2 linked regions of the Caenorhabditis elegans genome follow. The protein of the gene in region 1 purifies or fractionates together with the protein of each later gene. This does not show direct contact. Each region holds a gene or a part of one and is shown in the gene's direction. Other genes may lie near its edges.

Region 1 (4,810 bases):
GCAACAGTTGGCTTTGGTCCAAGACTTCGTCTCGTTGTATTTGGCGTAATCAATTCCTGCGGTTCTTCAGGAATATTTTCGGACGATTCTGAAGAAGACGGCGGTCGAATTGTATTCTCATCGTCTGGAGGTGGAGATAATGATGCAGGTTTCCGATGAGGAGGCGGTGGTGGAGCTCGTCTTGGGGCTGCAAAATTGTTTTAAAAATGAATCTTCCAATCTGTTAACCTCATAGGTATATTTAAACTATCTAATTGCTGTAATTGTATCTGCTTCACTCATTTTGAGAGATGATAAAATAATTGTTTTTCTTTCAATAAATGAGTCATACCACTAGGCACACACAGTGGCAGACGGAAAATTGGTCACTTCCGGGGGGTGGAACAATAATACCAACAGAAGTTAAATAGTGAATATATTTTTGGCAAGTGTTCACACAAGAATGACTATTTTAATCAAATGTTGGCGATAATCCAAGTAATTAATATAAGGACACAACCCAATTTTCTAAAATTTATTACTAGTACACTTCTTGGCGACAAAGGAGTAAAATCTGTCAAGTGGCACCTTTAGGCAAACAATATTGCGAAAAGCCTTTATACTTCTTTTTGACTACTTTCGCAATCGGTCACGCGTCTGTACAGATTTGATAGGAACTTTGAAGAAAATTGGGCATTTTTCGTTAACAAAAAGCAATAGGAAGAAGAACAGTCAAAAAACAATTTTAACACGGAAATCAGTTGTTCTACGATATTGTAAAAGTTAATAGAAAAAAAAATGATAGTAACAAAATATTTATGAATTTTCGTCTAGATTCTAACAACGAATATATAAATTGAAATGAGAACTTAATTTCCTTTAAAAATTAATTCGATTCACTGTTGGTGGAGTTTAAGGCAGATTTTTTTTTCGAAAAATTGACTGTTTTTTTTAACTCACAGAATCATTGTCAACCCGATTTTCGGTTCTCTCTTTTTCAATACTATGATCATATGATCTATTTAGTTATTATCAATAAATACAGACATAAATAGTTTTTAAAAAAATTATTTTTTAGTTTTTTTTTTCAAGAAATTTCGTAACTTTTATTTTCTCCACAGATAACAAAGCAAACGAAGTTTTTTGCTACGCCTCAATCAATTGTCGACAGTAAATACAAGACGTCTTCTCTGTTTCAGACTCACAAGGTGGCGGTGGTGGTTGCTTCCGGAATCTGTTGTCTCCGTCGTCCAGTTTATTTTGAAACTCTGCCATCATTTCTTTGACGGTCCTAGACGCCGGTGGAGTATCATCAGAATTTTTGCGATGGTTCATGTCATATTTCATACAGGCGATCTGAAAATAACTATAGCTCGTTCGAGATAACATTTTGGCTAAAAAATTGAAGAAAAAACGATAACACTAAAATATTATGAAATTAAGAATTAGTAATGAACGGGAACAGTCACAGCATGAGAAAAAGGCAACCGCTAGAAGAACAGGTTGAAGCAACAAAAAATCACACAAGACGCAGAGAATCAGGCATTGGAGACGCAGGGATATGGATGAGTCAGCAGCCGACGAAGACAAATTCGAAATAGCAAAAATGAAAGAAGTCTACGGAATTCACAAAGTGGATCTTTTGATATAAGGACAATTTTACTAAATAATAAATATGAATGAATACCCCCAAGTTGATCGCTCTGAAATCTGAAAAAGACCACAAAAACATTTTTTTTAACTGACAATAGCTCACGTAGCAATATAGGATCATACAAAAAAAATATACAAAATTATTAGTTTCGCTCCTTGCGAAAAAAGCCGAGTACAAAATCTACTTAATCCCGTTCGAATCCACTCCGAAATTGGAAGTGGTACTTCACGACAATACAAAATTTAAGCTGGCAACTGTCTTTTCTATCATATTCCCAATCGAAATCACAAATACCTCCCGGAACTTTCGAACAGAATCCAAAATGAGAACAAAAAATTGTAATAAAAAAATAACACTTTAAAGGTGCATGAGGTTATGCGCTCGTTGGGTCTCGCCGCGCTTTTCACCACTAATGCAATTTGAACGAGAAATGCGCGCGAGCGGCCATATTTTAGTTTTTCTGTTGTTTTTATTGTCATTTTTTTCCTTTTTCACTGCAAATTTGATAGTTAATCGACTTTTTTATGTTTTTACTGTGAAGTTTTTATTTTGTTATATATTGTTTCTTGCCTTTTTCCCAAAAACCTGAATGGAGCACACGAAAAAGTTCAAATCATTAAATCTTCACGGGTTTGATCGAAGTACAGAGGATTACGGAAAACGACCTTTTGTACTAACTGCCAAGCTACTTGAAGATCAGAAGAAAGCTATTTACGGATGTGCATTCAATCAATACGCAGGAATAGATGAGGAACAAGCGGTTGCAACTGTCGGAGGAAGCTTTGTAAGCGTTATTTAGCAGGAAACTGACAATGAGGTATAAATATTTGTTTTTCAGCTTCACATGTATTCTGTTCCCATCGACATAAATAACATTGAGCTGCAGTGGTCTTGTAATTTTCCTACCGATAAATCATCAAAGGTCGAACGAGAGGAGTCGCTCTTCACTGTTACCTGGTGTTACGACACATATGAAGCTGAAAACGACCGAAATCCCTTTAAAGTTGTAACGGGTGGAACTTTGGGTCACATTTACGTTATCGACTACGTCTCGAGGAAGCTGTCGAATGTAAATAATCAAAAATTACTGAAATAATTTGGAGTTTTAGCGTCTTCGGAGTGTTGGATGGGAAATCAATGACATTCGTACGTGTCCTGCCAACTCAAATCTGATTGTCTGTGCTTCATCAGATCAATCTATCCGGATTCATCATATTCGAAACGAAGCATGTCTGATTGTTATTGGGGGTCTCGAGTGTCATGCTGGAACAATTCTTTCTGTGGTTGGTTTATTAAATTTACTTACGTTTCGAATTTCTCATTTTAGGATTGGTCAACCGACGGAGACTTCATTTTATCGTGTGGATTCGATCATCAACTCATGGAGTGGGATTTATCTGTGAAACAAGTAAAGGAACATTTGGAACGAGCGTGCAAAGCTCTTCACCAAGATAAAATAAATGTGCTAACACAATCACAAGATATTCCGTATGTTTCGAAAGGAACAATGAGGTAAATCAATTATTCAGCTAACATTTTCTAGTTCCTTCTAGTATTTGATCAGTCCTTAACGCGAAAATTGTTGCTGTTGTTGTATATAAAAATATTTTTGAAACTTGAGTTTTGGATAAAAGACTGGTAAATAAAGAGACCAGGGCTATCAAATCATAATGTAATTCATTTTTGTATTTTTAGAAAGTCTGCAGTTTCTCGCAACATTCCCGACAAAGAAGAAGATCAATTGCTCGAACTTCACAGAGAGCTCATACCCCGACCGTACGTTGATTTTCGGCATCCATTACTTTTTTAAAGTTGTTTCAACGAATCTGGTTCTATCGTTTTCTTCTTTTTCAGGAGCTGCCTTCTTCCAATTTATACTCCATCCTCCGTATCAACTGATATGCATTCTGATTATGTGGATTGCATTCGATTTCTTATCGGTACTAACTACGCACTATCAAAAGGATGTGGCAATGAAAAGGCAATTCATTTTTGGAGATTTGGGCCACCTAAGGGAGAAGTTGAAAATCGCATTCATGGAAATGTTCTCCGTCCAAAGTCGTGTACAACGAAATTTCGTACAATGAATGTTCCGAGTGGTTCTGCATGGTTTATCAAATTCGCCGTTGATCCAAGAAGACGATGGCTGGTGTGCGGTGGAGCTGGTGGTTCTGTGATGTTTTTCGATTTGAGAAATAATGAAGAAACCAATCCGTAAGTAAAATATCAAGAAAAATAATTTCTGAGATGTTCGATATCTCTTAAAAATTATAGAAATATTTTTGCTGTGATTACCAGTATAAATTCCTGTTTTTTTTTTTACAGGACTCACACTTGTTCCGTTGGCTCACGTACAGTTCGGCAAGCTTCTTTCTCTACATGTGGCCGATTCCTAGTACTAGTAACTGACGAAGGATTTGTTTGTCGATTTGATCGTGTATCTGCGTCTGTCGACGCTAAGGACCTGGCAAAATTTTGAATATCATTCCTTCTCACCTTCAATTTTTTATATCTCGTTGTGATTTCATCTTCGATCATCTTCAGTGGATTTTACATTACAATTTTGCAGTTCCTAATGTCATCCCCAACCTCCTCTAAGGATTATTCTTCACCTAAACATAGCTTTATGTGTGAGTTTCGAAGAGATTATTTTCGTTTTCTGATTATCTAATTTTTCTAATTCAGTGACAGTCGACAGCAACTTACAAAGTGACAAAAAGAAGACGTTTTTGAATGTTCAGTGAGTTTTGAAAATTTTATTAGCTTTCATGTTATTACCTTTTTTATTTCAGATCATCTTCCTCTGCTGGGTCAACCAAGCACTGTCAAATTCCAATGTCAAAGGACGAGTATTTTGAAACACGCGGGAAACTCGACTCTGTTGATGTTATCGATCAATTCAGACAGCGTCAGCAATGAGCATTTATCGATTTGTCTGTACATGCAGTGTTCCTCACCATTCTCACTCTTGTCTCATTCCCATTCTTCTCTTTTTTTTCAATATTTTTTATTCTTTCCTTATTTTTGTCCGTTTCTATTTCCCGATGCTTGTTAATAAAATGAATTATTTCAGAGTCGCACCTTCTCACGCCAACCAACAAAATGACAACTGGAAACAATGATTTCTACTATTCAAACAAATACGAAGATGATGAGTTCGAGTACCGTCACGTTCAT
Region 2 (7,961 bases), on another chromosome or scaffold:
TTCAAATGATTCTCGGCCGTGTACTCCTCTCGGACAATTAATAAATTGTTTAATTTTGGATGTTTGTAGAGGTTTTTCGTGTTTTCTCATGATTTTACGGGAATCCTTTTGATTTTTTTGGTTAAAAACAAATTATTGGTGGTCTATGAATGCATTTTTCACTGTAAAATAGTGGAAACCGCCGTTATCCTCTTGAGAAAGTTCTAAAGTTCCATAAATTGTTCAGTTTCGCGGTTTTTCATTGAATAATTTGTAATTATTGTTTTTCGAACGTACAATTATCAAAAGAAAATCACGAAAAATCGCCAAATATTCCAAAATTCGATCGAATGGAGGTTTATTCTTCATTCCCTTCAAAATAGATTTATAATAATCTCTTGTTCGAACACTCCCTCTTCCCGCAGCGAAAGTGTAATAAAATGTCCAATAATCTAGCTAGATCTAGTTCAATAACTCATCAATTATATTGCCCTTTGATGTAGTTTTATAATGTCATAAAGTGCACACTTCTAAGAGTGGGCAGCTAAAAAATGCACTTGTTGCTCTTTTTTTCGCACCCTTCATACTTTTTTGGATCGATTTCTTTCATTTGATATTCATAATGACCTAATGTTTCCGCTGTACACTGTATCTGCACTCACGTGATGGGTCTCGCCACGGTAATAATATTACAAAATGATTTTGCCTATGCGTCTTTGAGTTTACTGTAGAAAATTAGTAATACATTTTTCAGCTCTACTTCTTTCTTCGCAGATTATTTTTCTGTGAGAACAAGAATACACAATTTATCCATTTCCATTCAATGAAAATGTATGACAGCGTGATTTCGATAAATCAACAATTGAATCCTTTTTCTTTAAACTTATAACTTCAATTGACATATTTTTAATTTCATTGTAAAACTTGGAATATAATTTCGTTGGTTTCAGTCTCTCATCCGTTCCAAATTATAATTCCAAACTCTCGAACGCGGAGACATGCGCACGCTCCTCTTCCTTTCCCTCGAGTAGGCGTCGCTCCTTCTCTTTTATTGATTTGTCGTGCTCTCCGCTCTTGTTTGAACGCGACCAATATGACTCATTTTTTTAATATTTAAAGTTTTTAAGCACATGCATAGTGCATTGCTCGCTTTCTACCTCTACGCGTTGTTCATGGCTCTAAAAACAAAGAGCGTACATTTTTTGAAATTCTATTTAAATAAATAAAATTATTATTGAGAATTCATCCGAAATATCTGTGAAATATCAAGCCAAACATATTTTTTATAATCCTAAAGTTAATAAAATTAAAATAAAGTATAGTCATTTTGTAAATTTGCTCAAAATGACAGAAAATGGACCGTAATAACCAAATATAGATGTTAAACATGCATAGAACTTTTCTAAATTTTTTTTTTAATTTTGCAAAAAGGTTCTTACGGTACATTTTTAATCAACCATTAAGTTTTACAAATCTTCATAGGTATAATTTTTTAATGAACAAATTGTTTGACTGGCAATAACCACGCATTCCTTCATTCGATTCCTTATCGAACCAGCCGTCTGTCTGAATATGATGTGAATTTCTTTTTTATTCTGCGTCTCCTCAATTGACATACTCTCTACTCAGTTTCCCAGAACGAAGTCTCTCTCATCTGACATTATATCTTTTTTGCGCTGTTCGTTTCACATTTTTCTTTCTCTCTCTCTCTCTGATTGGCGATTTCGAGATAAATCGATAATCTCGATCTTTGCTAAACTATTTTAAAACACAAAAAATCATTGCAGGGTATGACTCCGGCGACGGCAGAGGTGAAAGTTGGAGGGAGAAAACGGAAGAATGGTTAGTTGGAGAATAGGACATTTACTGGAATTTACAAAAATCAAATTCTTAAAATCAATTTTTAATTAATTTTGAAACATAAATCCCAATCGCGCCGAGACCCGCGTATTCTAACACAACGCTCACCTTTAAAAATAGTTAATTTTTTATTCGAGAAACTCGGCCTGAAACTTTTTATTTAACTTCTTGTTTAAATTGTAATTTAAACTATTATAATTAAAGTTTTTCCTGTTTTCTTAATTTTTCCACCAGTGAAAATTATTTTCGGCAATTCTACAAAATTACCTATTGTGCCATTTTGTTCCATCATATTTTATTACAAAACAGTGTCAAAAAATAGAAAATTACTTGAATTATCTAAAAATAACATTTATTTAAGCTGAAAAAATTTGAAAAATTGTTCAAAAATGGCTTGAAATTCGATGTTTCGTTTAATCAGCAATTGGCAACTCTCAGGCCATTTTTGAACACTTTCCCAAAATTTTATGCTAAAATAAATGAAATAAATGTTATTTTCAGATCAATAAAGTAATTGTCTATAGTTTGAAATTAATTTTTTTTCTGTCAAATTATAGTAATTTTTAGCATTTTTGAATTAATACTTTAAGCTTATTTTTGCAGATGAGCCGGTTTTTATCAAGACAAAACAATCGAGGTCAGCTCGTCGAGAAGAAGAAAAAGAAAATCTTTTGAACAAATCTCTTCCGTCAACTCCAACTTCATCAGAGGCCGGAAGTTCTCGGGAATCTTCAAATCCAGTCACAAGCTCCAGTAGACGAAAGAATCCACCTACCAAATTAGAAAATATTCAAAAAACGTTGCCGACTTGCAGTGACGGACGTTAGTTTTAAAAATCATTAATTAAAATCTCAATTTTTCTATTAATTCACATTTTTTCAGTTGAAATTCGCAATTATGTGAAAAAATATGGATTGCCGGAAGATAACAAGTTTCTCGTTCGTAATGTCTTCGACAAACAATTATTATTTGGAAAGAAATATGTGTGTAGAAGGCGTGTGATTAAAAGCATCGATGAATTTTTCCCGCGACTAAAGACCGATGCGGTTTGTTTGAATTTTTGATGGATTCATTTGCAAAATAAATTTTTCTTTCAGCACAGAGAAAATGGTTTATATAATTTCTGTACTCTACAATTCATGAAAATATCCTCCTGGGGAAGTTCGATGGATGAGAAGATTTGTTAGTTTATTTTTGAAAATTTTGAAAAATTTGAAACGAAATCTCGATAAAAACACTTAATTCGAAAAAGACCAACAGAAAATCACTTTGAACTAAAAATATCTATTCAATATTGATTGAAACCATATTTCACAAGAAATAAAAGTCTTTTTGAAATTTGGTTTTAAAAAAAATTATTTTTTTAATTAAAAAAGTCAAAAAAAATTGAAAAGTTCTGATTTGCATTATAAAACAAAAAATGAATTAAACTCAATAAATATATAGCCAGAAAACGCGAAAATGTCGGAATTCGCTTTTTTTTTCAGTTTTTGCAATTTCCTAAAATCACACAAAATTTATAAAAATTATTTTTTTCCTATAGTTTAAAGCAAATTTAATGATTTTGAAATGTTTGAGGTTTTTTTTCAAAAAGTAAGAACAATATTTCCAAAAAAATGAAATTATTTTCTAATTGTAAATTAAGATTCAAAAATACACACACACATAGTTTTTTTCGGTTTTAAAATTATTTTCTCATTAATTCATTAAAAAAAAGAACATTTTCAGATGTTACTTCTGCTGCAATTGTTCAAAGCTACGTGATAATTGTCGACGATAATGATTCAGTCACCTGCATTGAAAATGGAATCTCAGTTATTCCAATGGCGAATAGAACGTTACCATCTATCTCCTATAACAGTTCAAATGTAAAAAATATCACTTTGACGGGCCCTGAACTGAAAAAGGCAAAAAACGTATATCTCGCAGTGATTGTGAAACGAAAAACACCAAAACTTGGAGAAAATCGAGTTGGGACAAGTGAGTGAAATCATTTCTTTTTTTTAAATAAAAAGTTTCTTTTGTAGGAGGAAAATCAACTCGAGCATCATTCGAAACGGCTGCTTCCTCAGAAAACTTTCAGCAACTTGTTCGTTTTGGGTGCACTTTGATGTATGATAAGGATGCTGAAATTAACTGCCTAAATGACGGAGTTCAACGTATTATCTTACTGTAAGTCGCTTTAAAATTATAAATGCAAAAATTTAAAAACTTAAAAATTCAAAAAAAATTAAAATACTTTAAAAGTTTTTTTTTCCAAAATTTATCCGAAGGTGAATCTATAAAATTAAACTGGCCTGCTAATTTTTTAAAAAGGGGGTTTTCTGAAGATTTTGAGCGAAAACTGTTGTCAAAATAAATAAAAAACTGAAAAACATTTTTTTTCGAGAAACACGCGCTCAAATTGACGGGTATACGGTAGAAAATATTTTTTCAAAAAAAATTGTATAATGAAAAATATTGCTCTTGATTTTTCCAGTGATCGAGAAGAAAAGCCAGCGTATTTGAAAATTTTCGGGAAGGCCGATGAACCGGAACTCGAGAATGCTTGGATGAATAATGTTAAGCATTTGGAGTTTATAAGCGATACAAATTATAACAAAGAGGTAACGATGAAGAGTTAATAAACTTTTATAAATAATTGATTTTTTTCTACAGGATTCTCATCTCGCTCGTCTAATCTTCTCTTCAAATACTCATAATTATTTCGATAGACCGGACATTTCAAAATTCTCTCCATGGCAGCCGCGATCCAGAAGGACGACACTAAAATCTGGGTGAGAAATTCGATTTTTTCTCTTTTTTTAATTTTGTTTTTATCTGGTTTTTGCACGACCGTAATCCCGCACGCTTATTGTGTTTTCCATCATTTTCAGAATCTCCGTCGAGCCAGGAACGAGTTGCGATGAGGATTGTGGATCGCAATATGAAGAGTTCGTTTTTGATCCCTACCACCTGATTTTTTGTTTGAATATCTAATTTTTAAATCACTAAGTTTGCTGGATTTTTTCCCTTACAGAATTTCTAATTTCGGGTGCATTTCTTCTTTTTTCTTAGTTGGCTGTAATTGATACCTTCCAAATAGCTTGTCGTGATTTTTGAAAACCGTGAAGCTGCATTTCAGAATTTTTGAGTTAAAACTGGGGGGTTTTGTCCAAAATTACAGAAGGCAATCTGCATACACCGGATAGAACTTCAAAAAAAATCATCTAAATTTTATAGTTAATCACTCACTACATTGGATATTCGCGGAACTTCATGTTTCTATCCAACCATAGATCATCTAACTGTTCTTCAAAATTGTTTAGAAAATATAATTACAGTACAATCACTCTCAAGCAGTTACTCCTTGGAACGAAAAAGCTATGCGGAAGACGTAAGAGACATTTGACCCGACTCACTTCAAGATGGCCGTGTTTTTCAGTCGATCCGACGAAGGTAATTCTTAAAAAACTATAATTTCAAAGCTTAAGTGCAATTATTTCAGATCAATTCATATTTCAATGAAACTGGTGTCACTTTGCTGGAAAATTCGTGTTCCTACCGTCCTGGAACTCAACGAAGCATTCCAATAAAACCTACCCGAGTGATCAGAGTTAGAGAAGAAACTCCAGTTTCCGTTCCAATTGAGGTTATTACGATTGAAGATGATTCAGATGATTCACCATGTTTTTCTGCGAGAAATCGAGCACCAGGTGGAACACGGAAATATGGATTAGATTTTATACAATCTTCGGGTCATATGCCATATATTCGTTATGTTTATATGAACAGGTAATTTGATTTAATGCAATCCAGTAAAAAAATATATGATTTGCAGAGCAAATGACTTAGTGCCCCAGCTGAATGGCGAAGAAAATGGAAAAATCGAAGGTCTTATGGAAGCATATCCGATGAATAATGCTCACATGTATTCAGATATTGAGTTCCTGAGAAAAGAAAAAGTAAGAATTGTTTTTAAAAAAAAGACATAAAAGTTGTAATAATTTTCGCTTTTTTCACTAAAATCGAAAATGGAATTTTTTGTTTCGATTTACTGATTTTTGCAAAAATAAAACAAAACTTTAAGATTTTTCTTTTTTCCGATATTTCGAAAAAATTGCATAATTTGTTTTCTTTTTAGAAGCAATTTGTATGTATTTCTGAAAAAGCGAACAAAATTGTTTCCTGAAGGCGAAATCTATTTTTCCCTCAAAAACCCAAAAAAAAAAAAAAAAGTGAGAAAGGAAAAATTGAGAACCTTTCATTATATTTTTTGAATTTTTTGAATTGACTCCAAAAACAGGAAAAAAAAAACAAAAAATCCCAGCCTTGATTACGATATTAAAAATTTTCTATTGTGACATGTTGCTCCAACAATTTGTATTTAAAATTAATGTCAAAATATAGAAAAACACTCGAATTATCTGGAAATAACATTTATTCTGGCTGAAAATTTTGAAAAAGTACTCAAAAAATGTCCTGGAAGTTGCTGATTGCCAATTATCGAATTATTGAATTTCAGGTAATTTTGAACACTTTCTCGAATGTTTTAGTTGAAAAAAAGTTATTTTCAGATAATTCTAGTGATTCCTGCACTGAACACTAAAAAAAACTTGTCGCCGCAAACAAAAAAAATTAAAGCAAAATTACAAATTTCAGTTGAATCTTCCGAAGAATGCTCAAAAATATGGCGAAATGACAATTCTTGACTATCCACTAACGAAGACGGAAACGGACGAATATAATAAAAAGATGTCTGTGATGAATGTCAAAGATTTTGCGGTTAAACCCAGAAAACCTATTCCAACAGTCGGAAATACCACTTTAAGTTTGGATTTGGAAGGATGTCCTATATCGACATTTTCAGAAATATTCTTCCCAAGTGGAAAAACTGAACTATTCAATATTCTATGCAGACAGTAAGTGTTATAATATTAAGTCATATATTAAAACCCAATTTTTGAAGTTTCTACTCTGAAGCTGGACAACGCCCTGGATGCTTCTCAGCACAATGGAAATCTAGAGTTTTGGTGAGTTTATTGAACATTCAGGACTAGATTGGCAAACGTACGGAATTGCTTAGTACAGTATTTTTGAATCAAAACCTTTAAACTTCTTTTCAACGAAAATGAAAATTATTTTCAGAGTCTTTGATTCTACAAAAAATGAATTAGCGTACTAAAATAAGCATCTCAACACTTTTGCCAAGATTTGCCTTAACTTAGAACGCATTTTTGAATTTTTCATAAATAATTTTCAGACTGGCTTCATCAACAAATACCATCAGTACATTTTCGACATGAAATTGAATTCTTTATTCGAGAAACAAATAAATCTCATCGCTATGGTCAGCCCTGACTGGAAATTAGAAGATTTTGAATTGCCCATGGTTCGATATAAGCAATTGAAAAAAGAATGGAAAAATCGCCAACGAGATATACCATCTTCTAATTAGATTATCCCCTTTTTTCCTTGTATCTTTTTCTTTTTGGAAATCCTGTGTTTAATCTCTTTTCCATTTATCAATCAACTATACCAAATCGTGGTGGGTGGCAATTCTACTAAATGACATTAAAAATTAGTCTGAAAACATAGAAAATAATTTGATTCTTCTGCAAATAACATTTGTTTCAGTTGAAACACTTGAAAAAATGATTAAAAATTACCTGGAAGTTGGAAATTGTCGAATTTTGCTATTCGGCAATTGGAAACTTTCAGACTATTTTTGTGCAATTTTCAAATCTTTCAGCTGAAATAAATGTTATTTTCATATTTTTAAATAAATTAATTTTCTATTTTGAGACTAATTTTTAATGAACAATATTGGCCAATTTATGGAATTGCCAAAAGTAATTTCCACCCACCGCTGATCCCAAAAATACTACAATTTTTAGCACCTTTTGACCCAAAGAACGTCGTACTTCAATGATCTTCCAGATTACACGAGTCATCACTAAGTTTTTCTTCATTTCTTTTTCTTTCATTTAAGTTTTTTTCTATCCATTTTATAAGTTCTTTCCTTGATTGTTCTCTGCTCTACAACTCTTCTTTCTACTCACACTCCATGGATGTTGTGAAGCTTCTGTTATTTTGGAAATTTTATAATTTTACACAACTATTTGTACTATCCACTTTCAAGT

What was found.
Region 2: the proteins of mes-6 (region 1) and mes-3 purify together in Caenorhabditis elegans (affinity purification with western blotting, with the first as the bait; 2 studies listed by BioGRID). This does not show direct contact.

The regions. Positions count from the first base shown.
Region 1 is NC_003282.8:8,509,215-8,514,024, forward strand, and holds mes-6 (Polycomb protein mes-6), read left to right. Parts: upstream 1-2,069; 5' UTR 2,070-2,222; coding exon 2,223-2,417; intron 2,418-2,471; coding exon 2,472-2,702; intron 2,703-2,742; coding exon 2,743-2,916; intron 2,917-2,960; coding exon 2,961-3,145; intron 3,146-3,328; coding exon 3,329-3,409; intron 3,410-3,487; coding exon 3,488-3,847; intron 3,848-3,958; coding exon 3,959-4,112; 3' UTR 4,113-4,208; downstream 4,209-4,810. Other genes in the region: FYVE, RhoGEF and PH domain-containing protein tag-77, read right to left, coding at 1-187, 1,185-1,326; C09G4.4 (uncharacterized protein), read left to right, coding at 4,209-4,263, 4,319-4,373, 4,426-4,552; cks-1 (Cyclin-dependent kinases regulatory subunit), read left to right, coding at 4,736-4,810. UniProt on the Caenorhabditis elegans protein: Polycomb group (PcG) protein. PcG proteins act by forming multiprotein complexes, which are required to maintain the transcriptionally repressive state of homeotic genes throughout development.
Region 2 is NC_003279.8:4,995,075-5,003,035, forward strand, and holds the start of mes-3 (Polycomb protein mes-3), read left to right. Parts: upstream 1-1,764; 5' UTR 1,765-1,769; coding exon 1,770-1,821; intron 1,822-2,442; coding exon 2,443-2,661; intron 2,662-2,721; coding exon 2,722-2,885; intron 2,886-2,936; coding exon 2,937-3,021; intron 3,022-3,567; coding exon 3,568-3,819; intron 3,820-3,866; coding exon 3,867-4,011; intron 4,012-4,318; coding exon 4,319-4,445; intron 4,446-4,497; coding exon 4,498-4,616; intron 4,617-4,715; coding exon 4,716-4,772; intron 4,773-5,162; coding exon 5,163-5,277; intron 5,278-5,326; coding exon 5,327-5,613; intron 5,614-5,659; coding exon 5,660-5,783; intron 5,784-6,480; coding exon 6,481-6,740; intron 6,741-6,787; coding exon 6,788-6,851; intron 6,852-7,081; coding exon 7,082-7,276; 3' UTR 7,277-7,961. UniProt on the Caenorhabditis elegans protein: Component of a Polycomb group (PcG) complex. PcG proteins act by forming multiprotein complexes, which are required to maintain the transcriptionally repressive state of homeotic genes throughout development.